Linked DNA regions of Caenorhabditis elegans. The protein of the gene in region 1 interacts with the protein of each later gene in a pairwise test. Each region holds a gene or a part of one and is shown in the gene's direction. Other genes may lie near its edges. The genes, in order: cku-70 and cku-80.

Region 1 (14,998 bases):
TGGGCTCGCTCGGAGCAGCGCCAGAAATTGAAATTTCAAAAAATTAATTTCAGAATTATGATTTGTGCGAAGGAATTCATGTGATTTGTCCACTCGATGGGTGCGGTCATTCAAATGTGATTCGAGAGACATTTGATTGTGTGGTAAGAGAGAAGAGACGCAGAGGAACTGGACATTGTTGGCATGGCAATTTCGCAACTAAAATATGGCGAAATTTTGGGGTTCTTTCCGAGAAGAAACTTTTTTTTCCTCAATTTTATTGAAAATTTGGAGATTTTCTTTTAAAAATCCTTGGAAAAGCTAGGATTGGATATTTTCGATTTTTTTCAAAATTAAATTTTTCATTTTTTTCGAAAAATTACACTTTTTAGAAGAAAATGGTATTTTTCTTATAGTTTTTTTCTCAGCAACACATACAAAATTTGCGAACGATTTTTTCCGGCAAATCTGCAAACCAGCAATTTGCCGATTTGCCAAATTTGCCGAACAATTTCGGCAAATTACGGTTTTGCACATTTAAAAAAAAAATTTATTTTTTTGGAATTTTCAGAATTTCAATTTTAATCGGCAAAATTGTATGCATCCTATGAATATTCCTCCTACATCTATTTTGAAAATTGAGAAAATTCTATGAACATATCTAAAGAAAACGGGAAAAAACATTTCAAAAATACACCGTTTAAGGGTTTCCGTTTAAAAAAAAAATCCCTCTAAAAACTTCCGGCTAATCGGTAAATTGGCAAAAATGAAAATTTCCGGCAAACCGGCAATTGCCTCCCACCCCTGATACGAATACTGTTTCTATAAAGTATGCCCGTATCAGGGGTGGGAGGCAATTGCCGGTTTGCCGGAAATTTTCATTTTTGCCAATTTACCGATTAGCCGGAAGTTTTTAGAGGGATTTTTTTTTTAAACGGAAACCCTTAAACGGTGTATTTTTGAAATGTTTTTTCCCGTTTTCTTTAGATATGTTCATAGAATTTTCTCAATTTTCAAAATAGATGTAGGAGGAATATTCATAGGATGCATACAATTTTGGCGATTAGGATTGGAATTCTGATTTTTCTAATGAAAAAAATGTGCAAAACCACAATTTGGCGAAAATTTCCGTTTTTCCGAACTGTTTCTATAAAGTATGCCCAAGTCTCCTACTCCCTTGAGATAACCGTGGTTTTCTAACTAGGGAATGGCCAGTCCACAAGATGCATGAAAAATATGAAAAAAATAGAATCCAATAGCTAAAATATTTCTCTACCCGATTCTAAAATAAATTTCTGCCCGTTTTCACTTTTAGGCACTGCAACTTTTTCCTCACGAGGGACGAGGAAAAGTGGTTTCTAGGCCATGGCCGAGGGGCCGACAAGTTTCAGCGGCCATTTATCTTGCTTTGTTTTCCGCCTGTTTTCTTTCGTTTTTCATCGATTTTTTTCGTTTTTTCTTATTAAAACTGATAAATAAATACTTTTTGCAGATGCTAAAACAATTTCCAAGTAAAAAAATTATGTATTCAGTGGGCAAGCAGCGGTGAAAGTGGTCAATGCAATATGATGGATTACGGGAATACAAAACCTAAACTTTTTCTGAAACATGATACATATGCTGCTTAGATGCTGAGACTACCTGATTTTCATAACGAGACTGCTGAAAAAGTTTTGAGGTTTTCAAAATTCAACTTTTTGTGCGAAAATCTCGACTTTTTCACCAAAAAAGTTGAATTTTGGAAACCTCAAAACTTTTTCAGCGATCTCGTTATGAAAATCAGGTAGTCTCAGCATTTAAGCAGCATATGTATCATGTTTCAGAAAAAGTTTAGGTTTTGTATTCCCGTAATCCATCATATTGCATTGACCACTTTCACCGCTGCTTGCCCACTGAATAGATGATTTTTTACTTGGAAATTGTTTTAGCCTCTGCAAAAAATATTTATTTATCAGTTTTATTAAGAAAAAACGAAAAAAAAAGCGATGATAAACGAAAGAAAACAGGCGGAAAACAAAGCAAGATAAATGGCCGCTGAAACTTGTCGGCCCCTCGGCCATGGCCTAGAAACCACTTTTCCTCGTCCCTCGTGAGGAAAAAGTTGCAGTGTTAGGGGGTGAAATTTGCATCTGAAAAAAGTGCATTAAATCCAATGGATTAGCCCATATTTCATATGGTTAACGGTGAAATCAAGTAATTGAGAAGTCCAAAAATGTGGCAACAACTTTTTACTGCAGAAAAACCCTCGTCTTCGGTGGTTCAGTGGTTGTTGGTAAAAATAATTCTCAACTTTTTCGTTTAATTTCAGACTGATGCCTCGTCTCCCCGCCTTCTATTCTCCGGATGTGCTCAATGTCAAGGATCATGGGATCTTCAGGAGCATCAAGCAGTGATTGGGAATCAAGTTGACCGACAAATGTCGGAATTCGTCGCCAGACATCATCTCGCAGCGTTTAAGTACGATTTTTGATGGAAATTTGCCGATTTTCTGAAAATTTGGAAAAAAAACCTGCTTAAAATCAGGAGAATTGAAGACTAATTGCCAACATTGAAATTTCCGGAAAATCGGCGAATTGCCGGAATTATACATTTCTGGCAAATTGGCAAATTTTCAATTCCGAGAATTTGCCAATTTGCCGGAACTCGAAAGTTCCTTGCAAATCGGCAAATTGCCGGAATTAAAGATTTCCGGCAAATTGGCCAATTGACGGAGTTCAAAATTTCTGGCAAATTGGAAAATTGCCGGAATTGAAAATTTTCGGCAAGTTGTCAAATTGCCGGAATTATAAATTTCCGGCAAACCAGCAAATTGCCGGAATTGGAAAGTTCCCTGCAAATCGGCAAATTGTCGGAATTAAAGATTTCCGGCAATTTGCCCAACGGCTATTGGCGCACACTTAATATTCTTGTAAAAATAGGAAAAATGGCAAAAATTTCCGAATTTTTTGAAAATCGAAACACAAAAAACCGCACACTGAAAAATATTAAACAATTTTTTTTTTCAAATCCCCATAAAATTTCTTTTTTTTAGAGGCAAAATTTAAAAAAAAATTCCGAATTTTTTCAAAAAATCGTAATTTTTGTTGCAGATGCGATGAGCCAACGTGTGAATTCAAAACTCGCGTACAAACGATGAAATGGTGTCGAGAAGGACTCGAATGTATTCGATGCTCAACTGGTGTGCTCCGTCGTGAATACACTTCAAAACAGCTTTTCGATCAGCAAATGTTCTTTCGAACAATTCTCGATGTCGACGCGGCTGTACGAAAGTTGAGCGACGCCCAGAAAAGTTCGTGTTTGCGAAATTTTATTGGAAAAAAATGGGAAAAATCCCTAGAAAATGGGAAATTTCGGCGAAATTCAGCCAAGAATCGTGAGAATTAGCGGAAAATCTCGAAAATAATGGAAACAAACCGAATTAGGAGAACATTTTTAACTATTTTTGCGTTAAAATCATTCAAAATTCGATTTAAAAAATGTGATTTTCTTTCAATTTTTTTTTTGGAAATCGGACTTTTAATGTAAACTTTTGGTGAATAATTGTAATTTCAAAAAAAAAAACGCAGAGTTCGGAGAAAAAGTTTACTTAAAAAATTTTATTTTCTATTTCAGCAGCTATTCAGCATTTTTTTTTTTCAAAAAAAAAATTACGGAGATAAAATTATTCGGCTTTTATAATTTTATTACTCAATCCCGAAATTTCACGATTTTTGCGCCCGGGTCTCGACACGACAAATTGTTGTTGAATGCGAAAAGGTGTGCGCCTTTAAAGAGTACTGTAGTTTCAAACGGAATTTTTTATCGATTTTGCGCATAGATTTTCACACGATTTGTTAAAATTTAAGCGGTTTATTTCAGTTTTTCTAATAAAAAGCATATTTTTTAACGAAAAACTGAAAAAAATTGGATGAAATTTGAGAAATTTTCATCCATTTTTTTCAGTTTTTCGTTAAACAAAAAAACTGAAATAAACCGCTTAAGTTTTAACAAATCGTGTGAAATTCTATGCGCAAAATCGATTAAAAAAATCCGTTTGAAACTACAGTACTCTTTAAAGGCGCACACTTTTTCGCATTCAACAACAATTTGTCGTATCGAGACCCGGTACCGTATTCTTTGAAAAGCTTGGCTCAAATAATTTTAAATCCGTAATTTTTTTTCAGTAAATTTTTTCTCCGATTTCTGAGTTTTTTTTTTCGTTGAAAATTACAATTTTTCACTAAAAATTAGCATTAAAAGTTCGATTTCCAGGAAATTTTGTACAATTTTTTCTTCAAAAAAGTTTTTTTTTTCCAGAAGCCGCCAAAGTCCGTGTCGAATATAATGGGTGCAAAATCGATTCAATGATGTTGGCTGATCGAATCAATGAGAAATATTTGGAGAAAAATGCCTATAATCGAGTGGATCTTTCATATATTTTTGCGCCAATGATGAAAATTCAATGAATTTATTTTCTTTTTTTTTTGAAAATTTCCCCCCAGTTTTGCGATTTTCCCGTCTTTTTTATGTCGAAATTTCTAATTTCCTAATTTTTTTCACAAGTCATTTCCTCCTCCTCCATTTTTCCATTTTCTCCTAATTTTCAGTGAAAAATTCTTTATTTTTCCCCAAAAAAATATTCCCGAAAATACTCAAATCATATCTGATAAACAATCGAATCCTGTGTTAATTCTCCCTTTTTTCACTGAATTTTTGGAGTTTTTCCATCTCTGAAAAAATTATTTCAATTTATTATAGTATTTGTGTCGACTTACGGGGAGAATTTGAACATTTTCGCTATTTTCAAATTTTCTATGCAAAGTAATTTATTTTATTGTAAAATTAAAATTTTTGAGCAAAAAATAACACTTCTCCTCGAGGAGTACACGAAGGCTGCTGCGTAAATCGACACAGGGGTTGTCGATTTACGAGGGATAATGTTTCGGAAACTGAAATTTTAGCCAAAAAAAAAGTCGAGATTTTGCAAAAAAATTGAACTCAAACTTGTCCACGTGTAGTTCAAAATCCGTCGTAAATCGACACATGCATAAAAACCGTGTGTCTATTTACGCAGCTGGTGTACTCCTCGAGGAGAAGTTTTTTTTTTTTAATTTTTCAGTCACGAGCTCCGTAAATCGACAAAATATGATATTTTTTTCTCGAAAAATTTGAAAAAAAAAACTTTCGAAATTTTCAAAACTTGAAAAATGTCAAATTTCAAAGTTTTTGAGAACAAAAATATTTTAATAAATATTTTTAAATTCAAAAAAAATTAATTTTTCGATTTTTTCAGTCAAAATTTGAATTTTTTTTCGAGAAAAGTTTGAAAAAAATCAATTTTTTTCCAGATGGACGAAACCCGCTTCGAGGATGACGATTTCGAGGGTTCAACGGCCAATAAAAAGTACACATTCTTCATAATTGACGGAAATCCGGCAATGTTCGAAACGTCGAAAGCCGGTGAGCCGCCAGAGTTCAAGCTTGCTCTGAAGCTCATTCTCGACGAAATAGTCCGTGTTTGCTGCTCGCGGAGCCTTAACAATCATATCGGAGTGATTGTCACTAGTACTGTACGAGTTTTTTCTGAAGAATTTCTGAAAATTTAATAATTTTTTAATTACAGAAAAACTCGGAGACCGAGGGACTCGAAAATAGCACTCTGCTTGTGCCGATGGGTGTTCTTGGACAGGAAGAAGTGAATAAGATTAAGGAAATTGCGGAGGAAGGTGCGGAAATCGCGGACAATTTCTGACATTTTCGTGGTTTTTTTTCTCGGCATTCGTCGTCTTTTGGCGACTTGGCACAATTTTCGCAGTGAATTAGGCAAACTTCTAATTTTTCAAAATCTCGACAAATTGGCAATTTCCAGTTAAATTTCGAGTAAAATCTACAATTTCAGAATATTATACGCAATCTGGCAATTTTTTGGCAAAAAATTGATTGTTCTTTTGACTTTTGGCAGAATTTCGGTAGATCACCACTTTTTTGAAAATTCGAACGATTTTTTTCCGGCAAATAGACAAATTGTCGGAATTGAAAATTTCTGGCAAATTGCCAAATTGCCGGACATGACAATTTCTGGCAAATTGCCAGAATTAAAAGTTTCTGGCAAATTGCCAGAATTGATTGAAAATTTACGGCAAATTGCCAAATTGCCGGAATTGAAAGTTTCCGGCAAACCGGCAAGTTGCCGGAAACTTTCATTTTTGGCAATTCGGCAACTTGCTGGAAATTAAATTTTCCGGCAATTCGGCAAACCGGCAAATTGTTGGAAATTAAAGTTTCCGGCAAATCGGCAAAATGCCGGAATTGAAAATTTCCGGCAAACCGGAAAATTGTCGGAAATTAAAGTTTCCGTCAACTCGGCAATCCGGCAAGTTGCCAGAAATGAAAATATCCGTCAATTCGGCAAACCGGCAACTTGCTAGAAATCAAAATTTCCGGCAAATTGCTGAAAATGAAATTTTCCGGCAAATCGGCAAGTTGCTAGAAATTAAAATTTGCGGCAATTCGGCAAACCGGCAAGTTGCCGGAAACGAAAATTTCCGTCACGGCAAACCGGCAAATTGCCAGAATTGAAAATTTACGGCAAAACTGCAAACCGGCAAGTTGCCAGAAATGAAAATTTCCGTCAATTCGGCAAACCGGCAAATTGCCAGAAATGAAAGTTCTCGTCAAAACGGCAAACCGGCAAGTTCCCATAAATGAAAATATACGGTAATTCGGTAAATCGGCAAATTGTCGGAATTTAGTTTCCGGTAAATCTGCAACTTGCCGGAATAAAAAATTTCCGGCAACAATTCGGCAAACCGGCACATTGTCGGAAATTAAAGTTTCCGGCAAACCGGCATTTCCGACAATTTGCCGAATTTGCCAAACGGCAATTGCCGTCCACCACTGCTTTCGACAAAACAATTTCCGGTATTTTTTTTTCAAGAAATTGGCAATTTTCGACGCCAGAACTTAGCTTTTCATAAAGAGCGGCCTGAAATCGTGTAGGCCACGCCGCCTAGAAAATTGGCAAAACAATATTTCATAATAACCTAATTTATTTTCAAAAAAAAAAAAGGTTTTTTTGTGAGATCTCTTCAATTTTCAATTTCTCATCCATCACCACCACCACCACCACCTCAATTCGGTTTCCTCATTCCGGCCTTTATCTCCCGCATCAATTCATCTTGCCACATGGAATGAGTCTCCTCAATTGTCTGAATACTTATCGCCAACTCACGCATCCGATCACAAGCCACCTCAAACTCACGAGTGGCATCATCAAACCGAGTCCGATTGACGTCAGTGTCGTTGCTGGCGTACTTGTTCGCAGCACTATCCATATCGAGACGTGTCTTATTCAAATTGGCAATTGTATTTGTGTGAAGCTTACTCTCGTTCTGTGTGAACGCCTTGTACCGCTCACAAATCGCCAGCACCTTATCCATCGACTCGACTTCTGCCTCCATCCGCGTGTCGACACAATTGATGAACGGTTGCACGTTGATACGATCTCCGAGCAGAGCATAGTTCTCCAGTGGGCCTGAAAAGTTGGCTTTCACTTGCCAATTTGCCACGTCGTTCAGATTTGCCATGTGCTTGTAGAGATCCTGGACGCGGGGCTTCAGAGATTTGAAGTAGATCAACGCCTCGTCGATTTCGGCGGGAAGCACTGTCGCCTTGCTTCTGCCCGTCTTTTCTTTCACTTTTTGCTTTAGTCGACTGAACATTGTTGAACAACTCACGCACACACCACCGAGTCGAAATTTAGGAATAAATTGAATTTTGAATTTTGTCCGCGGCGTTTTTTTTTTTTGCTGTTGGAATTTTGAAATTTCCAACGTGGAATTTTGGGATTTTCACGGAAAAAAATTTGATATTTGAGTTTTGTTCAAGTTTGAAAAAGTTAGAAAAGTTTCAATTCCGGCGATTTGCCGGTTTATCGGAAATTTGCAATTCCGGCAATTTGCCGGTTTTGTCGATATGCCGGAAATTTTCATTTCCGCCAATTTGCCGATTTGCCGGAAATTTTCTACTCCGGCAATTTGCCGGAAATGTTCAATTCCGCCCATTTGCCGGTTTGCCGGAAGTTTTTAATTCTGGCAATTTGCTGGTTTTCCGTAAATTTTCCGATTTGCCGGAAATTTTCTATTCCGGCAATTCGCTGGTTTGCCAAAAATTTTCAATTCCGCCAATTTGCCGATTTGCCGGAAGTTTTCAATTCCGACAATTTTCCGATTTGGCTGTAGATTCCATTTCGGCAATTTGCCGGTTTGCCGAAACTTTCAGTTCCGGCAATTTGCCGATTTGCCGGAAATTTTCTACTCCGGCAATTTGCCGGAAATGTTCAATTCCGGCAATTTGCCGGTTTGCCGGCAGTTTTCAATTCCGGAAATTTGCCGATTTATCGGAATTTTTAATTCCGCCCATTTGCCGGTTTGCCGGAAGTTTTTAATTCCGGCAAGTTGCCGAATTGCCGGAAAGAAATCGTTTGCCGCCCACGCCTGCAGTAGATTTCGAAATTTTCGGCAAGTTTATGCAACCGACGTTATTTTGGTTTTACCGGAAATTTGATATATTTGCAAAGTCACTAGACATATGCGATTCTCAGTGAAGGCTTTCCGACCAATAAGCGATCCGAGGTGGGCGTGACCAACATTGCTAATTGGTTGGCGGTCCCGATTTGAAGTGAAATTTCAATTTTCAGAAGTTTTCCGAAAAGAAAATAAATAATTTTTTGTTCCAGAAAACCTCCTCTCGGCAGTGAACAATTACGGCGGTGATCATCACAAATCCGACTTGTCAAATGTGCTTAACTACTGTAAACGAGTGTTTGCAAGTTGTTCGAATACACGTCATCAATCGGTCATTTATTTGACAAACAATCGGAATCCATTTGAACGTGACGATTTTTTGGAATCTTCGCATTTTGTTAGTGGATTTTTTGGCGGGTTTTCGTGGAAAAAACACATAAAATATCGTTAAAAAATACAAAAAAAGAAACTTTAAAAAATCATAATATCCATGGAAAATTAAATTTACTGACAAAATATATAAATTAGTGTTGTAGTCAAAAAAAATTCGGAAAACTATTGAGCACTTTTCCAATTTTTCCAACTGAAATGCAATCTTTCTTAGATATTATAGGAGCCCAAAATTCTGAGAATGCGTACTGTGCAACAGATTTGACGCGCAAAATGTAGCTATATCTCGTAGCGAAAACTACAGTAATTCTTTAAGTGACTACTGTATCGCTTGTGTCGATTTACGGAAATCATTTATCAATCGATAAAATATTAAAAGAAAACACAAAAATGACAATTTTCTTTAGATTTTCGTTTTTTTGTCACTTGTGTGTTTTTGTTTAATATGTTATTATCGATTAATAAATGTTTTCCGTAAATCGACACACAATCACTACAGTAGTCATTTAAAGAATTACTGTAGTTTTCGCTACGAGATATAGTTATGTTTTGCGCGTCAAATATGTTGCACAGTACGCATTCTCAGAATTTTGGGCTCCTATAATATCTAAGAAAGATTGCATTTCAGTTGGAAAAATTGAAAAAAAGTGCTCAAAAGATTTCGGAATTTTTTTTTGAATAAAACACTAATTTCTATATTTTGTAAATAAATTCAATTTTTCGTGAATTTTACGATTTTCGAGTAAATTTTAAGCGCTAAATTTTCAATTTTAAGCAAAATTATTTTTTTTTCTTCAGAAACGCACCAAAGCCGCGGTCACCAAAATTATCGGTGAGGGACATCGAAAGACGCTCGGTGAATTTTCGGTTATTATGTTGCCAGAGGATGGATATAAGCCACAGGATAAGGACGAGAAACGGAAGGAGCCATGGGTACTCTACTGTGCAGGAAAAATAAATCGATAAATTTTTAAATTTTTCCGAAAAAAAAAGTGTTTTCTTTTCGAAAAATCTAGCTTTTTTAAAGCGTGAAAATCATAATTTTTTGGTTTATTTTTTTTTCCTTTTTTCTATTAAAAAATTAATTTTTTGAGGAAAAGTCTTCAAAAATAAATTTTAAAAATCGATTTTTGAATAAAACAGATGTTAAAACTAAACCAAAATTATTTTTTCCCCGGTTTTTCGAATAAAAAGGGTTTTAAAATATATTTTTTTGTTTTAATTAAAAAGGTTTTTTTTTCATCCGAAACCCCGGGAAAAAATTTAAAAAAAAACGGAGATTTAACGGATTTCCGAATTTTTAAATAATTATCGCTTTTACGATTCCTCTGAAAATTGATACTTTTTTAAAAAAATTTAAAAAAATGATTCGAATTTCGCAAAAAAAAAAACACTTTTTTTTCTCGATAAAAACGAATTTTTCGAGAAAAATTTTTTTAAAGTTCAATTTAATTTTTTTTTACATCCTAAAAATGTGATACAATTCTAGAAAAAAAATAGTGAAAGATTTTTTAAATTTTTTAAATTAATTTTTATGGCAAAAAAATCGTAAATCGGAAAAAATTGTGTCGGAAAATTTTTGATGAACAAATTTTTTTTTGAGATTGTAGAGAATTTTACGCAAAAAAAGTTTTTTTTTTTTTTGGAACTTTTCAAAAATAAATTGTTTAAAATTAAAATTAAAAAAAAATTATCATTACTTATATATAAAAAAATACATGAGGGATGTTACAATTGTAGTTTGTAGTCTGTGACGTCACACTTGCAAGGTGTTTCCGGCTGTTGAAGGGATTGTGGGTTGGGGTTAGTGGTGGGATATGGTCGGGATACTGTAGTAGTACTGTAGGGGTACTGTAGGGTTACTGTAGGATTACTGTAGTTTTGGAAAAATTGACTTTTTGTCTTTTGAAGTGATATTGGTTTGAGGTTAGTGGTGGGATATGGTCGGGGTACTGTAGTAGTACTGTAGTAGTACTGTAGGAGTACTGTAGGATTACTGTATTTTTGAAAAAAATTGGCTTTTCGTCTTTTGAAGAGATATTGCTTTGGGGTTAGTGTCGGGATATGGTTGGGGTACTGTAGTTGTTCTGTAGAGGTACTGTAGGAGTACTGTAGGATTACTGTAGTTTGGGAAAAATTGACTTTTCGTCTATTGAACGGATATTGGAAACTTTGAGAAAATTCCGGAATGCTCCAGAACCTTCTGGAAAATTCGAGAAAATTCTGGAATGTTCCAGAACCTTCTGGAAAATTTGAGAAAATGCTGGAATGTTCCAGAACCTTCTGGAAAATTTGAGAAAATGCTGGAATGTTCCAGAACCTTCTGGAAAATTTGAGAAAATGCTGGAATGTTCCAGAACCTTCTGGAAAATTCGAGAAAATTCTGGAATGTTCCAGAACCTTCTGGAAAATTCGAGAAAATTCGTGGTGAGACCCTTCGTGGTGAGACCCTTCGTGGTGAGACCCATCTTGGCGAGACCCATAAGTTTTGGCGGGAAATTCAAATTTTCTGATAAAAATTTTTGGCGGGAAATTCAAATTTACTGAGAAAAACTTTTTGGTGGGAAATACAAATTTTCTGTGAAAAATTATAACGGGAATTCAAGTTTTCTGTGAAAAATTATAACGGGAATTCAAAATTTCTGTGAAAAATTTTGGCGGGAATTCAAAATTTCTGTGAAAAATTTTGGCGGGAATTCAAAATTTCTGTGAAAAATTTTGGCGGGAATTCAAAATTTCTGTGAAAAATTTTGGCGGGAATTCAAAATTTCTGTGAAAAATTTTGGCGGGAATTCAAATTTTCTGTGAAAAATTTTGGCGGGAATACAAATTTTCTGTGAAAAATTATAACGGGAATTCAAGTTTTCTGTGAAAAATTTTGGCGGGAATTCAAAATTTCTGTGAAAAATTTTGGCGGGAATTCAAAATTTCTGAAAAAAAATTCTGGAATGTTCCAGAAGTTTCTAGAAAATTCGAGAAAAGTCTGTAATGTTCCAGAACTTTCTAGAAAAATCGGGAAAATTCTCGAATGTTCCAGAATTTTCTAGAAAATTCGAGCAAAGTCTGGAATGTTCAATTCCCTGAAAAAATTCAAGAAACTTCTGCGAAGTTCTAGAACCTTTCAAGTTTTGATACTCCTAGAATATTCTGAAGTTTTAAGAATTAAAAAAAACCAGAAATTGTTATAGATAATTTCCAAAAACGCTCGCCAAAAACTTTCGGAAAGGACCGGAAAAAGTCTCATAAAAGTTCCAGGAAACTTGAGGTTTTAAAATTGTAATTGCTTAAAATTAAGTTTTATAATATTTTTTGTTTTATAATATATATATTAGTTTTATAATATATATTTTTATTATAGTTTTTATAATATATAGTTTTATAATATATATATTTTTTAAATTTATAATATTTATGTTGCTCGAAAACTTCCGGAAAACAAGGAAAAAAACGTTCCATCTGCAGTGAAATGCTTAGAAATTTCAGAATTTGATTTTAATTTTGAGTACGCCAGTCGGAGCACGCGCTTCAGCGCGTGCGAACGGCTGGTTAAAAAAAAAAAAATTAAAAAAAAAAAACAAAAAAAAAAAATTTAAAAATTTAAAAAAATCCACAAATTTCTGCGCCTTTACGTTTTTTTTTTTCAATTAAAGTTTTCCAAATATTTCAGTACGACCTGGACACGGAAGTCTTCAGTACGGAATGCGACGCGGCCGCCCGTATTCGTCAAAAAATCACTGCTCAACGATCACACGCGACGCTGACGGTTAACGTTGGTCCCGGTGTCACTTTTGACGTTTCTGTGTACGATTTTTTAAAAAGAAAATCGTGGAAAATTCGATGAAAAATTTTTTTTAGAATTTACTCCATTTTGAAAAAAAAAGCCCAACAAATGGGTGGAGCCTAACATTTTTCAAACCACGCCCCTTCCTTGGACGTATTTTACAATAATCAACCCCATTTTCCAGATTTTCAATGGTAATGGAAGCGAAACCATTGGACCACAGTCAAAAATACACCCGAGACACTGAGGAAAAGATTGTAAAAACGTCGGGATACGTGAAGAAAGAGTCGAAAATGGAATTGGAATCGACAGAAATTGAAACTCAGGATAGTGTTCTTGATGAGACTCAGAAGATGTTGATTCGATGTAGTTAGTATTTAATTTTTCTGAAAAATTAAAAATTATATTAGGTCTCCAAATAAGTTCCGGGTCAAAAATCATAACTTTGTTCGCTGCGTATCGATTTTTATGAAACTTTGGGAATTTAAGTAATCATCCATGATCTTTCAATTGACAATAGTCACAAAATTTTTTGACCATCCGAAGTGTCCTAACTCGGAGCCAATTTTTTCAGGCATTTTTCTGATCTCGCTTCTTTTCAGTTTTCAATTGAGCTTCGTGTGCGGATTTTGCTTTGTTTAGAATACATTATTAGAAAACAACAAAAGTTTTGAAAAAAATCCGCCCAAAAAAATTTTTTTTGGTTGGTCGTCAAAAAATGTTCAAAAAAATTTTTGTCGAAAATTCTAGATTTTTCCTACAAAAATGATGTAACCAAGTGTAAACTATTTTTACACAAACAAAACATATCAATTTAGTTCGATAGAGAATATAATTTTTTCGGATAATTTTTTAGTTTTTTGAATATTTCTTGAGATTCAAATTTTTAACTCAAATGATTTATATGTCTGAAAATAGTTTACACTTGGTTACATCATTTTTGTAGGAAAAATTTAGAATTTTCGACAAAAAATTTTTTGAACATTTTTTGACAACCAACCAAAAAAAAATTTTTTGAGTGGATTTTTTTTTAAAACTTTTGTTGTTTTCTAATAATGTATTCTAAACAAAGCAAAATCCGCACACAAAGCTCAATTGAAAACTGAAAAGAAGCGAGATCAGAAAAATGCCTGAAAAAATTGGCTCCGAGTTAGGCCACTTGGGGTGGTCAAAAAATTTTGTGACTATTGTCAAATGAAAGACCATGGATGATAATATAAATTCTCACAGTTTCATAAAAATCGATTCGCAGCGAACAAAGTTATGATTTTTGACCCGGAACTTATTTGGAGACCTAATTGCTTAAAAATTGAGAAAATTTGGGTTTAGTTTGTTGGAAAAGTATGAATTTCGGCAAATTGGCTCTTTTTTTTAACGATTTTTTGAAAAAATTATTCATTTTTTCTTTTTAAAATAACAAACCCCAAAAATTATATACTTTCTAAAAAAAACCTTTTTCAAAGTTTTTTAGAAAAAAAAATGTCCGGTAAAATTAATTTTGCAGTATTTTTAAAAATTGAAAAATAGTTTTTTTTTCAGAAAATTTTTTTTGTTGTGAAAATTCGGAAAAAAATGGTGAGAAAATTTGAATTTTTAGCCGAAATTTTTTTCTCAGAATATTTGAATTTCCCGCTAAAAAACTAAGAAAAATTCTCAAAAAATTTGATTTTCCGCCAAAATATTTTTTTTTTAATTTGAATTTTTGTTGCAATTTCTCAAAGAATTCATTCAAAATCGCCAAAAAATGAGCTATTCAGGTTCAAATTTGATGCAAAATTTTAGTTTCTCAAAGATATTTCAAAATTTTATATAAAAATACCTTAACCACTTAAAATAGTACACATTCTTAAAAATTTTTATCTTAAAATTAAAAAAAAACACACTAGAATTCATATTTTAGTGTTTTTTTTTTTCTAAAATTTGTTTCTAAAATATACATTTATTGCAGAATTTCTGGAAGACTCGATTCGCAACCGTCGTGATCTTAAAAAATCGATAGAAATCGGTGGAGAGAAGATAATTTTGGATGGAGATCAATATGAATATATGAATGAAGTTAATTCAAAAGGTGTCGATTTTGTTGGATTCTGCTCAATGAGCCGTGTGGACCGAGAGACTTCAGTTGTTTCGTCGAAAATTATTCAGCCGAATGATCAGACAACACTTGGCAGTACCGCTATCTATAGAACATTTTTAGGTACAAAAATGGGGAAATTTGACCTTAAAATCTTTTTTTTTCTCCCGAAAATGTTTCAAAAAATGTTTATTATAAAATTTGAATTTCCCACAAAAAATTCTCAAAAAAATATAACTTCCCACCAAAAATGTTTCTCAGACAATTTGA
Region 2 (16,244 bases), 6.7 Mb from region 1:
CAATTTCTGAAAAATCAAAATTAAACCTTCTAATGGAACCAAAAAGATCAATATCATCTTTTAGCCACTGACAAAAACAATTATTTATTTTCGTTCTCTCATCCATTTTTCTCTAATTCTCTACAGAGGGTTTTCCTTATTTTATCATCATTGAACAAAAATACTGATTTGATTGCTTATCACTTTTTGTTCCTTATCAAACCCAAATATATATCGGACGTTTTTTCTTGATTTCTCACGCGATTTCAGCGAAATGAACATTTTCGAACATATTTTTAAAAAGCTTAAAACCTAAAAATTCATATTTCCAGATGTCTCGAGTTATATCAAAAGTGACGACATATTTCAAGCAACATTCCACCGCCGAATGGAAGCATTACTTCTTGTCAACTCATTTTTGGGGACCAGTGGCTAACTGGGGACTTCCGTTGGCTGCTCTTGGAGATTTGAAGGTAACTGCATTTTTTAGAGACAAGTTAGGGTGAAAAAACGTTACTTTTGTATTGGGTGTTTAAAAATTGAAAAGCGCTTTTAATCCATAGCCAGATTTGGTTTTTTTAATAAGTGCTGAAAATGTGTGTGCCTTTAAAAAGAACAGTAGTCGTAATTATGTTTTCTTGCTTTTCTAAATTTTGCAGGTTAATCAATTTTTTTCACATGAAATAAAATATATTTTCCCAAAAATTTAACAAAAAAAACTAGCAATAAAGGAATAAAAAACTGTACACCTTAAAGGCGCACACTCTGTTTTGCAAATTTTATTTTTAGTTGTGAATTTTCTGCTGAGACCTGAAAATAGCAACTTTAGTACTACTATAATTTGTCAACCTTTTCAAAAAAAGCATGCAATTTTTGAGAAACTCTTATAAAAGCTATTATTAAAAAAACACCTTTTTTCCAAAATTATTCCACAAAAAATATGTTATGAAATGCCTACACCCTCTCACACACACTCTTTATACTACTCTGTCAAACTCACGAGATGTCTGCCGCCTCTTGTGTCCCCCCTATATAAACACCTCCTATTGCGAGATGTCTTGTTCTTCCGAGAACATATACTAAAATTGGAACAATACAGAGAAGATTAGCATGGCCCCTGCGCAAGGATGACACGCAAATTCGTGAAGCGTTCCAAATTTTTTGTGAAATTTTCTATAATTTTTTTTGCAGAAAAATCCTGACATGATCAGTGGACCAATGACGTCAGCTCTTCTGATCTACTCGAGTGTTTTCATGAGATTCGCGTGGCACGTTCAACCACGAAATCTTTTGCTCTTCGCTTGCCATTTTGCCAACTTCAGTGCTCAAGGAGCTCAGGTATACTCCATAACAGCAGCTCCAGTTGATAATTTTTAATTTTTTCAGCTCGGTCGATTTGTGAACCACAACTATCTGCACTACGTTGAAGATCCCGTCCACCATAAATTGATGATGAAAAAGGAGGTTTTGGAGCACGAACACGATGCGGAAGTGATCAGCAAGGCACATTGAGCAATTTGATTAAATATATAATTTTTAGCGGGTTTCGCTCTTTTTATGGTATCCTTTTTTCGAATTTCTAGGGAATTTTAGAAAGAATAAGTTAAATAAAAATAAATTTATGATATGAACTGAAAATGTAAAGCAAAAATAGGTGTTCGAAGAAAACCGTAACTAGCGACTCGACTAGATGTCAACATTCACAGGGAGAATCATTATTTTAATGGAGCTTCAACTTCGGATTCATCCACTTTTTGAGAATCGTCAAATGGATTTTTGAGATTTTTGAGATCGATGGCAGTTCCTTCTGCACGATTTTTCAGCGAAATCAGCACATCTGCAGGGATTTCTGGAATATCCGGAGTGATTGGAGGAGGTGCGGCAAGATCGACGTCTTCATCATATTCACCACTTCGATCGAATGGATCAGAGTCCTAAAACATTTTTTTATGCGAGTACAGTGGACGATTCCAACTAACATGTCCTCCGCGTGTCTCATTCAATGTCACTTCAGCCATAGAATCTTCGTACAAGTCTGTACTTGACAGCTCATCATCGACTTCTTCTTCTTCTGGTTCACCTGCTTGAGCATCTTTTTCCATTGAAATAAGCTGTAAAATACGAATTTCTTCAAGTCTTGTTTGAAGATTTTCATAAGTAAACTCGATAAAATCGAGGAAAATTGAAAAATTGATGAAAAATAGTTAAAAATCTAACCGTGCGGCGAAATTTCGTGATTTTCAAATCAAATTCTATTTTCTTTCATTTTATCGAGTTTAGTTATCGAAATACTGCAAAAAATAATTCATTTAAGCTGATTCCATTTTTGAAAAATTACAATTTTCAGATACATAACCGGCGTTTCTCACCAATCTTTTTAATAATAAACATTTAAAAAAATGCAAAATTTATTAGAACAACACAAACAAGAAAAACAACAAATTGCGAACAAGAGAAATAACGAGGAAAAAAATTAAAGGAAATCTTGCTTGGCGACAAATTCCTTCGCATAACCATCATCAGCGATCTGGCAACTCGCGGAGCAAGTGTACACGTACACGGAAGCCCAGTCGATAGATTGACCAATAGCATCTACATCGATGAGCGACAAGAGATGTGGCATAAGCTGCATTTCGAAACGACGAGGAGCTCCACAAAGTTCACATGGTTCCACAACTTCTGGCAATTCAGAAAGGCCAGTTGCACGGAGTGGCTGTCCGTATCTCTTGTATCTAATAATCTGATCGGGTTGCAAATTGACAAGACGGTTGAATTTATCAAAATCGATATCTTTTGGTTGCTCGGCGGTGGCTTCATCCAAATCTTCCTTTGTCATGTCAGCGTTTTTCTGAAAAAGGAATTGAGAAATTTAATTGTTTTTTCCGGCGTCAAACTAACCCCTTTGTTCTCCTTGACAAATTTCTCAAATTCTCTGATTCTTGCTTTCTTCTCCTCTTCAGTCTCATCCTCATCATTTCCTTCTTCCTCTTCCTCATCGCCTTCATCATCACTAAGTCCGTCAAACAGATTTGCTGGCATATATTCCTGATCAATTTCTACACCGAATTCTTTGAAACAAAACGCATTTCTTGGATTTTTCGGTTCATCCGTTATGGAGCCATCTGTTGCCGCTTTAGCACATTCGAGCTTGTGAGCAGGCCAGTCGATGACTTGATGAGCTTGAGAGCAATATCTGAAATTGTGACATATAAGGTGTGAACAAAATTTACCAGAATTTCGTCTTTCCGGCCAGAAATACTGTAACTGGTCTCGATACGACAAATTTTTGTTAAATGCACAAAAATGTGAGCGCCTTTAAGGGGTACTGTAATTATAAATTTGCTGAATTTTCATAGATTTTCCAAAGTTTTCCGAAGATATTTGTATTAATTTTTTTAAACTTTAACAAAATAATTATATTCGAGAGAAGAAATATTAAAAGTCAATAAAAATTCCGCAGCAAGAAAATTTTGGAATTATAAGCCTAATTAGAGTACTAATTAGAGTAGGCACACGCCTTTTTGCATTTAACGGAGAATTTTTTATTCTGGACGCAACATTTTTCGTATGGGTAACTTCTCTCACCTCGCCACTTGGCACTTGGCACATTTTTTCGCAGCGGAACATCCACAGATTCGACACAATCCGGGTCCATCAGCCGGTGCACGTGGATCAGCAACATCTCCATCCAAATCAGGATCCATTGGTCCATCAAATGAATAATAATCATTGGCACGTGGAAGTTGGCATCGGAAGGCTTTCAGATTTGCGGCATCATTTGTACGAGAGCAGGATGGATTACGGCAAACGAAGAGAAATAGAGAACGATGAAAAGCGTGTGGAGGATCATTTATACCTCCATTTGCTGATACTTGCATCAGGAAACACAGTGGTTTCTCGCAGACCTTAAATTTGGGAAATTATTTGGTGGACGGTTGTAGGAAGTTTTTTGTTGCTAATTTTGAAAAAATTATAATTTCAGCTAAAATTTTTAATTTTGCAAATATTTCCGTATTGCTGTTTTATTTTCCATATTTTTGTAGTAAAATAAAACAATGATCAAATAAAATTAATTTCTGAACGCTGCAATACGGAAAAGTTGGCAAAATTGAAGATTTAGCTAAAATTAGGTCAGTTTCAAAGTTCTGTTATAAAAAACCTACGTTGCACAACAAATCTGCGGATTTTGGAAGATTTTTTGGATTCAACCATGACGGTTTTCCTCCTATTTTTCCGAGTGGAAGAAATTGCGAACGTAGACGATACAGATCATCTGGCTCGAATTGAACTCCGAATCCCAAGTTTACTGGTTCATCTGAAAACGAGCTATTTTCATGCTGCAAACAAGATAAAGAGAACGGGCAGGAGACTTAGTGTGTATTTTCTTAAATTTATTGGTTAAGTCCGACTTGAAGAAATTTGTCAAAGAATTTAAATTTAAATATTTCGATTGATCAATATACAAGAAATAAGGCATTATTGATTGGGGAAAGTGAAACAGAAAAAATTGCCGAGAACCATGAATGTCGGTTTGCATTGTGTCTTCTAGTCTTGCTTGTTTTCACGCTTCTTGCGATCTTCTTGTTTGGTAGCAGCGAAGAGCCAGATACCCAAAACCACGTGGACGAGGACGACAGCAATGATCGCAGAATAGGTCAAAGCGTCGTTTGCACTGACACCCAGGAGCCCTGAAATAGGAGAGAAAATGGAATTTTATTCATTTTTCAAAAATTAAAAATAATCGGTAGAACAAGCTCTGTACCTTCGAAAAAGAATTGTTTCAAGAGGAACATAGAAGCAAGAGGAACGATGAGAATCACAAGACTATACGTGAGAAGGTTCTTGACAGCGGATTGGACTTCCTGATCACGAAAGTTCGGGAACAGAGTTGCCATTGTTGATGGTTCGGATGAAGAGGAAGTGGTCATTTCGCTGCAAACAACTCGGTATATCCATGGGTTTAAAATCAAATAATTATTATTGGAATAAAAAATAAGATTATTAAGGGGAGAATAGGTTCATACCAAGGTTTCTGGGAGAATCTTACCGAAAATTTGTTTTTTTTTAATTAAAAAAAATCCCGGATATCCCGAGTTGAATCCAGCGGCGCCAAAAGTAAAGGAAATCAAGAGATACAAAATTTGACAATTTCAAATTAAAATATAGTAAAGCGAAAACTACGCTTCAGAGAGAAAAATTCAATTAGTAAGGAAAAAATATAACAAAAAAAATTTATTCGTTATGTACAAAAGCATCTAGCCAGAGGCACTAATATAAATAGAACGGGTCGAAGTGATCACAAATAAGTAAACGAGGTCCAAACGGGAAGTGAATGTTCAGGAGGAATTTTTGAAGAAGATAATACACAGCCACGCTATTCTTTCTTTTTCTCTGCTCTGAGTTTGTCTTCGGCGTCTTTCTCTTCTTTCCATGCAATATAACAGAAAGCGGCAGCAATGAGAATTACGACCAAGGCAGCACATACTCCGGCATAAAGCATGGCTTCTGCTGGTGGTAAATGGAAGTGGTCTGAAACAAATTATCTATAAAATTGATTCTGGAAAAGTCCACTTACCGATGAATACCCAATAATACAAGCTTGCCATAACAAGCAGTGGAAGTGTGAACATCATTGCAGAAAATGCGATGAGCAGAGTTATAGCTCTATTCGAATGCTCTGCTGTGTAGAATTGTTCTTGATCGGGTCGAATCGGTGCTTTCAGTGCCTCTTCTACTAGGTCCTCACCGTCTTTCTCTTTCGGCCGATTTGCGTCGTCTTTAATTGACTGATCAACGAATGGAAGCTTCATCTCCTCTTCAACTTCATCATCTTCCTCTTTCGCCGATTTGTCAGCATTGTCATCCTCGTTTTCACTGACAGATTGACTACCTAAACTATTAATTCACTAAACAAAAAACATATATTTGTAAAATACCATTTTTCTTTTCATCAACAGCTTCAAAACTATCTGAAGTGCTGGATTTTCGTTCAGCTCCGTCGATCAGCTCGAAGTCTTGCTCCTGTTCTGGAGTATCGCTCATTCTGGAAAGATTTAAATACAACCGAGGAACCAGAAGAGCGCATGAAAATATAGAGCGTGTAATTTAACGTCAGTTATTGACAGAGAAAATAGAATTACGAAAGACCAAATCGGGCAACGAGGAAAACGTTTAACACAAACACAACACTGAAAATAAGCAAGAAAAGGAGGAAGTTATCGGAAAACCGAAGAACTTTCAACTTCGGAAAGAACCGTTTAATTTATGTTTAAAATCAAACAAAAAATTCCCGAAACATCCCTTTTAAACTTTGATTTTCACGAAAAACAACGAATGACCGAAAAATGTGATCAATCTCTGAGAGTGTGCACTTTTGCGTGACGGTGAACTGTCCGCGTGCACCAGATTCGACGCGCAAAATAATCGGCGCGAGGTTCGAACGAACGTTCGTGAATTTGTGGGAGCGGTTTTTAATGTTTAAAAATCAGTTTTGGTTTATTTTATTTGAAAAAAAAAACGATAAAAGCTATATTCCAGCAGTATCTAAAATGATCTTCTTTTAATATTCTAATTTTAATGTTTTAAAATTCATTTTTCGCTGCAGCAAAAAGTTGGTGTTTGCGTACAAAACCCGCGCCAGTCTTGAAAAACGCACGCATTATTTATTCACATGTTTCGCAATATTTCCATATGAACTTCTCAACATCACCAATTTAAATTAAGTTACAGGAATGCCGCCTAAAAAGGTATCTCCCGGGATTACCGTAATCCTTATCGACGCAGGATCCAATATGTCTGTGAAAGACACTGAAACTGGAAAAAGTGCATTTGAAAATGCGATCAATGCTGCAGATTGGATTGTTTCGAGAAAAGTGATACTAAAATTCGAGAAAACTTTCAAAGAAAAAATTGTTTTCAGCTATTTTCCAAAGATCCCGAGCTCTTCTCAGTGATGGCCTACAATTTGGATCCGAAAGAATACAAAACAGAAGTTGGCGGTCAAACATTTAATGGAGTCCAGTGTCAAAATGAAAAGTTTACACCAGCCAGCTTTGATCATTTAAAGTTTATCACAAAGGAATTGCAGCAAAATACAGAAATGATAGATCCAAATTGTGAGAGAATATCCAAGACAAATTCAAAAATCCTATTTATTTTTTTCAGTTTTCAAAGGTGTTCTGGGAGCCGTCGCAGTGCTAAAAGATCAAATCGAATCGTATCCGAATCCATCAGGAATCACGTTGATTGTACTGACAAATGGATTAAACGAGAACATTCGACAAGAAAATTTCGATCTTTTAGTTGAAGCCGTTAGTGAAAGTAATGCAGATTTGATGATAATGTAAGATTTTTCCATTTTAGCGTTGAAAAAAAAATACTTATTCCAGTGGAATCGATGAAAATCCAGAATATCCTGCTTCTCGAGTTGCAGAATTGGCAGAAACATTAGAAGGAAGAACATATACTTTTCAGTGAGTTTTTAAAAATAAAATTGGCGATTTTTGCGCCAAAAATACGGAATCTAGACACGCTTTTTGCGAAATGTTCATCGATTTTCCATAATTTTTCGTTAAAAAAAACTGAAATAATGGTTTTTAAAAACACATAAATATTATTTGAGAAATCTTTAAAAATTCCACAACAACGAAAATTTAAAATAACAGTACCCTTTAAAGGAACACGCTTGTTTGTATCTAACAATAATTGTCGTGTCAAGACCGGCTACCGTATTTTCGGCGCAAATACTATAACATTTCGCGCCTGGAGTAATATCATCATAATTACAATTTCCAGAAACGTCGCAAAGATGCTCTCCACCTTCCAGGCTCGTCAGAAATCCGAGAGAAAATACAATAAAATGTGGGATGTAAGAGTTTTTGAAGAAATCTAATCTAATACAATAAAAATAACGTTCAGATTGCTCCTGGAATCCATCTCCCGGTGATTTTTGCTCTAAAATCTGAAAAATCTACAGCACTACTCAAGTTCAAAAATGCAGATTCCGAAGGAAATGAAATGGTTCGATTGGAACAAATGCACGTGGAAACTGACGAAGTTGCTCCGAAAGATGAATTCAAATCGCCGGTTCTGGAAGAGAAACCGAAATTTCAGAAAAACTTTAAACCCGTTGAAAATATAAAAACTATGCATGGTAGTGAAATTCTAAATTTTTTAAAATCTATTATTAATGCGTCAGGCTACAATTTCGGAAAATCGGTTATCATGATGGACCCAGAATATCTTAAAGAAAAATACAATGATCATAATTTCAACGAGGGACAGACTGGTGGAGTGCTAAAACTGATACAGTTCACGAAAAGAGCAAATGTAAGATATGACATGGTCTCGCAACGACGGAGAATGTTAAATTAGAGGCGACGAAAAAAGGGTGTGCGCCTTTAAAGAGTACTGTAATTTCAAAATTTCGTTTCCGTTGAAATTTCATCGATTTTTCACAGTTATAACACGATATTTTGAAATTTGTATTTTAAAATAGACAAATCATGGTCATTTTTTTGAGAAAAAAACCGAAAAACTAATCACGAAATTTTACCAAAAAAATCTCATTTCAGATCCAGTTGTCACAATAATAATTCCGACCAAAAACAAATTTCTCCGAAAAAATCGGTGTCTTACCTCTCTTCTAAAATTAGCATTTTTGAAAAAAAAATAACGTTTTTTTTACTTTTTGGTTCAAAATCACAACAAAAGAAAGATAGCCATTCATAAATCGCAAAATTTCGCATCTCATAATTGTAATAATTATTTCTAGATTCTCGACTCATATCTCCTCGATGCCAGCGCGAAAACAGTACTTCCTGCTCTCAATTCACCAAAATCAGGTGCCACCAAAGCTACCGTATCCCTCATCGAAGCAATGCTTTCACTTCGAGTCGCTGCCATTTGTCGATACACATTCCATGCAAAATCTCATGTGCAACTCATTGCTCTTCTACCACATCAAGATGAAGAAACTGGCGTTTTCTATCTAAGATCAGTGAAATTACCATTTTCCGATGATATGAGAACATTGAAATTCCCGAAATTCTCATTTGACGAGGAAGATGAAGATTTGAATAAGCCTACTGGTATATATTCATTCAGACTTTTGAATTTAACAAAAAACTAATTAAATTTCAGTAGCTCAACTCTCCGCTGTAGATGACCTTATCGATTGTATGCAATTACAAGAAGATGAAATGTTTGAATTTCAGAAAAATATTGTCCAATAAAAAATTGTTTTCAGCTCTTCACTGGTCGAAGGTGGAATGAGTGATCCAAAATTGCAGATGCAATGCCATTTTCTCAAAAGTTTAGTTCTACATCCAAACGGTACATATTCTTGTGAATTCGGTTTAAATGAAATAATATTATTGTCATTTCAGATACCTTCGAAAATCATTCCAATCGAACCAATCAAATTCTCGATCAAATAATGGCACCGAAACGCAGAGTCGAAGCAGAACATCCGGAGATTTTCCAGAAGCTTGGCCGCGAATTCAATCTGCAACCAATTCAGAAAACCAAACGAGAACGGGTTACGGTAGAGCCTGAAGATCTGCAGACAATGATATCCGAATGGACGGAGAAAAAACAGAATATGACACAACCAGATGAGGTAGATGATGGTGCAAGTCAAAAGAAAAAGAAAAAACCAAATGCAAAGAAATTGACGAGAAAAGAAGAAGTTCAAATGGATATCATGGAAGATGGCGGAGCTAGTCGTGTTTGCTCGAAAATTCTTGAAATGATTTCAAATACTTGCAAATTTCAACCAAATGGAGCAGTTACTGAGTTCTTTACGGTATTTTCAAAAATAGATTTTCAAAATAAAACTTTAAATTTTAAATTTACAGCTTCTCGTCAATGAATTGAATGTTATTCGCTCAGTTTTCGTTGAAAACTCAAAATGTGACGAGTTCAATGAACTTCTCAAGAAGTTGAAAGACGAAGAAGACTTTGAACCATTTGCTGAAGTTCTTTCTGAAGGTACTACCATTTCATGTCCACTTTTCTGCCATTCCTCATTCAACAAATTTCAGAAAAATCATGCAATCCAATTGATTCTTCCGAAGTCAGCATGTCAGAAGTCTCCGTCGCCAATGCTGCCGAATTCTGGGAAGAAGATTGAGCATTTTTATTTTATTTTATGGCAATGTATCTCAAATAACTAACTACAATCATTTTAAAGCTGTGAATGAACTGAAATGAAAATAAAATCATACTACCGTATCATGGTGATCACCCAAAGAACGCTTTTTAATGTGAAAGTCAGCATTTTTTTTATTTAGTACGTACAGTGAGAGGAAAAAGTAGGGAAAAGCAAGATGTAGGCTCGTAGGTAGGCGAAAATGTGATGTACCCAAGTGTATCGGTAGGCAGACTGGTAACAATAACAGAGAAGTACTCAAACATCGATCTTAATGTCTACCGACTTGTGTGCATAATGCATGCCTATAGGTATACCTATGCACCTCCCACAGGTTTCAATGCCTAGTTTATCGCCTACATCTAGCCAATGTGCCTGCCTACTATCTTTGACGGAGTTTGTGCCACTAAAATGACGACTCAGGTATTCACAAATTTAAGAAACAAGTTCAGTTTATTCAAATCTTCAATTTCAAGTAATAGATCAAGTTCCGATGGAAGTTTTAATCTTTCTCCTTTTTTCACTTCTTCTCGTATGCTTCCAGTTTATCGAGTTGATCATCTGGGCTTCTATCGCCGGTTGTCTTCTCCCGCTCACTTGACACTTCCCAACCGATTTCCATCTCTCGTTTCTCAAGTCTTTTAATAATTGCCAGATTCTCCTCAGAATCAATATCAGAGAGTGGTTCGACTTCAGATCCAGACGAGAGGGCCACTTCATCTATAACAAGAGTATGACCAACAATTACAATAATAATAAAAAATACCTTTAACAGAAAGAGCAACTAGATTCTCATAGTTTCTAAAATGTTCTCTTTCCTCTTGATCCAAGTCTTCGAAAAACTCAACTTCAGAATCCTCTTCAGACTTCAGACTCCATTTGAACTTCCTCTTCTCTTCTCCTTCATCAGTTGCACACGTAGACGAAGTCCACGTGGATAACGATGTGGCAGACGTAGAATCATATGAGCCTGTCATTGCCGACTGTGTACCAGTAAAATCATGTCTCATTCCCAACAAAAACTCGCGGGTGATCAGTCCGCGGCTGACCTTTTTTCCTCTTCCCGGCTTCGGCTTCGGTGGTTCAGATAATTTCTGAAAATTATAAATTTTCAAAGACTCGTTTATATTATCGCGACGCAGAAACTATAGTTTTGAAATCAAAGTTGGTACGATTGCGCTCCAATGAAAACTCTGCTCACCGGAATTTATATATCGTTAGGTATTGGCGTCAAAAACGTAAATTAAAATTTTCTACTAAAAATTTGAATTTCCGGATTTGCCGCCAATAAATAGTTTCATATTGTCGTGGAGCGCAATTGCACGCACTTTGCTTTCAAACTGCGGCATTCTCTATTTACGTCTCGAGATGGATCCATAATACTTACACTCTTCTCTTCTTCAGTTTTGTTCTCCTTTCTATCCTGCTTCTGTTTCTCCGGATCACCTTTCGCTCGACCTTTTTTATTCTTGACAACATCGGAAGGAGTTGAACGTCTTTCGACACCAATCATCGCCTCCGTTGCACCATCATCATCCTTTTCACTCGACGGATTCCTTTCTGCGGATTTTTCCTTTCTCTCAGCTGATTTCCCAGCCTTCTTCGGTTTCTTTCTCCCATCAGATGAACTAGCTTCTGACATTGGCGAAGAGGTCTGTTCGGTGCAAGAAGATGTTTCAGCGCTTGACCTCTCACAAGAATCCTTCTTCTTCTCACTCTTTGATTTTCTTGCTGCTGCACTTTTCTGTTCATTCTCCTCATCCGATGCCTTCAAATTATCGTGATCCGATTCATCAGCTGCATGCCAATGACCTTCTACTAGATCAATCGCATTATTCGTGTAGAAATCTGGAGCTCTTCTAGTTTTCTTGACTTCTTCGAGTTCTTTCATTGTGTAAAGTCTTGGTTGTTCTTTGTCAGAATATTGCATAACATCCACCGAAAATATCAGATCTGAAATAAAAACATTAAATAATAAAAAAAATACTAAGCTGACACTTACTCATTTTCTCCATGAAAGTTTCATAGGTCAACTTTTTATTGGCTATGAAACAAGCAACCAGTGGAACAAAATCAGCACAACCATCATAGAGATAATTCACTGAAAAATAAACAATTATTGGCAGATTGTCAAACATTAGCTCTCACATGGATCATTGAAAAATACTTCTTTCAGTTTGAACATATTCTCTGCATCTCCGAACCATGGAAGCTTCTCGGCAGTGCACAGAAATAGCATCTACAAAATTTTCGTTGTAATCTGGATTCATAATGATTTCCTACCGTGTAAACCCATGCCTCAAAGTCCACAAATTCATCAAATTGTGCATCTTTTTGGTGGAAAACTCTCGGAGAAAACGAATCGGGTCGAGCATCGTCAGGAACTTTCATTTCTGGTCTATAAAAAGCAGAGAGTTTGGGTCTCGCCACGACTTCACATTGCGTAAAAGTACAGTAACAGCTCTCACCACAAACTAAATATTATCAAAAATGTGTGTGAAATACAGTAACCCATAGACAGGCAGACATGTAGGTAGACAGTTGGCACATCATCGGTAGGTAAAAGATAGGCACGTACGTAGGCGCTTAGGTGAGAATGAAAGTAAGTATTAAGTAGGCACGTAGGGACGATGTAGGTACGCAGGCGGGCAGGTGCGAGGTAGATACGCAGGCAAGAACTAAGAAGGTAAGCTTTCAATAGGCACATAGGTAGGCAACGTAGCATGAGGCAGGTATGAGTGAAACATGAGTTAGGCACACACGCAAGCATAAGGCGTGTCCGTCTGGCAAAAACCTACTTTCTCGTCATGCATCTTGAATAATCAGTGATCTTAATATTGAATGGATGCTGATTGACACTGAATGAAGATGGTCGAATATCCAAATGAACAATATCGAATGAATGAAGTTCTTTAATTGCATTGAAAGTGAAATAACTGATAAGAAACATTGTGGTAGGGCTGAAAGTTTTTATTTAAACATTCGAATATTGATATCCAGTGAAACTCACTTCAAAACAGCTCCAAACTCATCAAAAAGCGTCAGCAAATCCATTCCAAAATCCTCGAAAATTAGGAATCTGAAAACCAAACTGAAGGGACCAGAGATATTAATTTTTTTTTACTTAAAATCGTCATCATATCCAATATCAACAAGACGGGCAATATGCGATGGATTCGAGAGCTCTGGGAGCAAATCATAGAGAATCTTGCGTTCTTTCTGGAAACAAAGTTATCTAGTTACTTTCTGTGATACTATAAATGAAATTACATCTAAATTCTTTTGCAATTGCAAATGTTCTGGATTCTTTCGGCTGACAAGCTTTGCAGAGCACATACAACCCGATTTGATATTTTGAACGAGCCAAAATTGATTGGATGTCGATGAGTTGCTTTCAGGCTGAAAATAGTTGATGAAAACTTTGAAAAACTACTTCTAGAACAAACATTATTGCCTAAAGCTTCACTTATGGGACCATCAGGATCCAGTTCTTCCATCATTTCGTATTTGGTATTTTTCAGAAAACGCGGCATAGGAAGTTGGAAAGTCTTCAATTTCTGAAACACGAAAAATTTCACAAAAAATTTGGAACGCTTCACGAATTTGCGTGTCATCCTTGCGCAGGGGCCATGCTAATCTTCTCTGTATTGTTCCAATTTTAGTATATGTTCTCGGAAGAACGAGACATCTCGCAATAGGAGGTGTTTATATAGGGGGGACACAAGAGGCGGCAGACGTCTTGCGGGTTTTGTCATCCTCTATGTTTTGCATACCATTAAGGGTGGAGCTCTTGCAAGAACTCTTAAAATGTTTAGAGTTATTCAAAATTGGAAAAGGAGTTCGAAAATACTTGAAATATTTCAAAGTAGACTTGAAAATCTTTTGAATTAGAGTGAAGAAAATGAGCGTGCGCCTTTAAGATGATACGGTAGCTTTTTTAAATTGAATTTTGAAAGTTTTCTTCGTTTTTCAAATAATAATTCTCAATGAAAATATAAAGAAAACATATGAGAAAAATTCGAATGCGGTCTCGAAACGATTTTAATGAACACAGAAGAGTGTGCGCGCCTTTATGGAGTACTGTAGTTATCAACCTTTCGTTTTTTGTGGAATTTTTTCTGACGTTTTCTCAGAAATTCGTGTATTTTATATTTTAATTCAGTTAAAAAATAACTTTCAAGGTGACGAAAAAAGGGGACTACAGTAATCTTTAAAGGCGCAAACCCATTTCCTTAATCAAAATAAGATCGTGTCGATACCGGGGTACTGTATTATCGGTTAAAAAATCGCAAAATTCAGCGTCTGGGTAGTATAAGATAAGGTAAAAGATATAGTATAAGATAAGGAATGAAAGAATGACATTTTCAGTATTTTTAGTGATACCGAGAGAAAACAAATACCTCTTTCAACAATGGCGTAGTTTCTTCACCAACTACCATAAACTCCGAGAAAACTTTATCAGAAATGTTCATCGCTGTGCTCAAATAATCCAGCAAATTCTCGACTTCTGAATCGGTATCAGTCGACCTATAGAGATCATCAGAATCCCAATTGAACTTTTCAATATTTCGATCAAGATCTGCATTGTCTGCATCTGGATCCGAAGACGTAATGATAATTGATTCAGAATCAAGCATTGCAGATGATGTATCAGTTGTTGAAGAGTATGATTGACTGAAAGATGTCTCAACGCCTGCATTGCTTGTTTGCTCGGCTGACGATTTTTCGGCTCCCGACTTGTTGGACGCCGACTTGACTTCTGGAAAATTAATTTTGGAATTTTTTTTTTCTTCTATCAGTCTCAAAGAATGTGTATTTATGCAAAATGTCTCGGCGCGCTCCTTGCATATATCCAAAGGGATTTTGCATACGTGCCTTTAAGAGTACTGTAGAAAATTCATGTATAGATCTCGATTGTTCACTGAGAAAAAAAACCAAACAAATTAAGAATTTTAGAAAGAAAACCCATATATTTACTTTTCAATGTTTCCGTCGAAAAAACTGAAAATACAATGTTTCATCACATCAATTGCCTACCGAAACTTTAAAGGCACATACACAAAAGTTTAATTCATGAATGCATGTTCGCGCGCTCTGAGACCTTTTTTCATAATAACTATTACGCATCTTTTGAAATTCCTTTAATACCTTCAAACATGCTATCCTCTTCATCTCCCGTAGCATCAGTGTCTTCAGTTTCATCTTTCGACCCTTTTCTGTCTTTCTGTTTCTCTATGTTATCCAACATCTCTTCCAAATATTCAATCTCATCGTCAAAATTCATTTTATCATCAATAGATGATGACGTGTCATCAGACGAAGATTTCAAATCTTTATAAAGTTTTTGCTCTCTTTCAAGACGTTTTTCAGCCAATGCTTTCTCTTTCTCTGCGTCTAATTTCTCTTTATCAGTCTTCTCTTTATCATCTTCCTCTTCATTCTCCGTCTCTGTCTCTTCAGTAGTTGGTGCAGATGATGGCTCTACCATATCCGTTGGCTGTTCAGATTCCTTCTTCTCTCCGACCTCGCCATCCTCTTCGGAAATAAGATGGGAAGACGACGACGCTGATACTGCATCGAGATCCTTGTCCGAAAAACAATCCGACCCCGAACAACAACATTGGCGCATTATTCTGTAAATTGGTATTTACAGCTACAAAAAAAGAATAAAAAGATTCTGGAGGTATGGGGAATTGAACCCCAGCCCTCTCCCATGCTAAGGGAGCGCTCTACCACTGAGCTATACCCCGACGGACGGGCTCGGTTCTCAGTGTCGATAAAAACCCACTTCAATCGTTTCCAGGCAATATCTGTAGCATCATTTTCATTTTTGAACATAGCTTCAACAGCATCAGTATCCGAAGTTTCACCATCTGAATCACAAGCATCCGAATTTGAAGAAGAAAACTCTGATGATGATGAATATTTATTTGTTGTTCCTTTTTTAACTTCCAATTCGAATTTTTGAATTTCTTTCAGCAAAGCTTTTTCCTTTTCATCAATAACTATTTCAGGCAAATCACCATCCAACTCATCTTCCTCAGATTCCAAACATTTTGGACCTTTTAAATCCGTTTTCTTTTTTCTTTTATTTAGAGCTGCTTTACACTGAAAC

The links.
Region 2: the proteins of cku-70 (region 1) and cku-80 interact in a two-hybrid assay, tested with the Caenorhabditis elegans proteins (3 studies listed by BioGRID).

The regions. Positions count from the first base shown.
Region 1 is NC_003281.10:11,149,521-11,164,518, forward strand, and holds the start of cku-70 (Ku domain-containing protein), read left to right. Parts: upstream 1-5,306; coding exon 5,307-5,528; intron 5,529-5,581; coding exon 5,582-5,684; intron 5,685-7,088; coding exon of another isoform or gene 7,089-7,679; intron 7,680-8,695; coding exon 8,696-8,880; intron 8,881-9,671; coding exon 9,672-9,806; intron 9,807-12,540; coding exon 12,541-12,674; intron 12,675-12,838; coding exon 12,839-13,023; intron 13,024-14,602; coding exon 14,603-14,851; intron 14,852-14,998. Other genes in the region: pola-1 (DNA polymerase), read left to right, coding at 54-143, 2,288-2,436, 3,069-3,268, 4,276-4,424; Y47D3A.31 (BAR domain-containing protein), read right to left, coding at 7,089-7,679.
Region 2 is NC_003281.10:4,413,146-4,429,389, forward strand, and holds cku-80 (ATP-dependent DNA helicase II subunit 2), read left to right. Parts: upstream 1-6,702; 5' UTR 6,703-6,710; coding exon 6,711-6,851; intron 6,852-6,898; coding exon 6,899-7,094; intron 7,095-7,143; coding exon 7,144-7,321; intron 7,322-7,367; coding exon 7,368-7,451; intron 7,452-7,773; coding exon 7,774-7,846; intron 7,847-7,896; coding exon 7,897-8,131; intron 8,132-8,176; coding exon 8,177-8,307; intron 8,308-8,752; coding exon 8,753-9,068; intron 9,069-9,120; coding exon 9,121-9,181; intron 9,182-9,226; coding exon 9,227-9,312; intron 9,313-9,365; coding exon 9,366-9,784; intron 9,785-9,836; coding exon 9,837-9,969; intron 9,970-10,022; coding exon 10,023-10,111; 3' UTR 10,112-10,230; downstream 10,231-16,244. Other genes in the region: mpc-1 (putative mitochondrial pyruvate carrier 1), read left to right, coding at 312-452, 1,171-1,317, 1,366-1,491; R07E5.11 (Intraflagellar transport protein 46 homolog), read right to left, coding at 1,695-1,913, 1,959-2,081; pdcd-2 (MYND-type domain-containing protein), read right to left, coding at 2,453-2,827, 2,878-3,172, 3,565-3,884, 4,143-4,294, 4,498-4,516; R07E5.19 (Vacuolar ATPase assembly integral membrane protein VMA21 homolog), read right to left, coding at 4,525-4,667, 4,742-4,907; R07E5.7 (vacuolar ATPase assembly integral membrane protein VMA21), read right to left, coding at 5,354-5,508, 5,555-5,869, 5,916-6,021; C28A5.6 (Protein kinase domain-containing protein), read right to left, coding at 10,650-10,849, 10,896-11,223, 11,517-12,082, 12,132-12,230, 12,278-12,368, 12,413-12,527, 12,928-13,089, 13,140-13,208 and 6 more.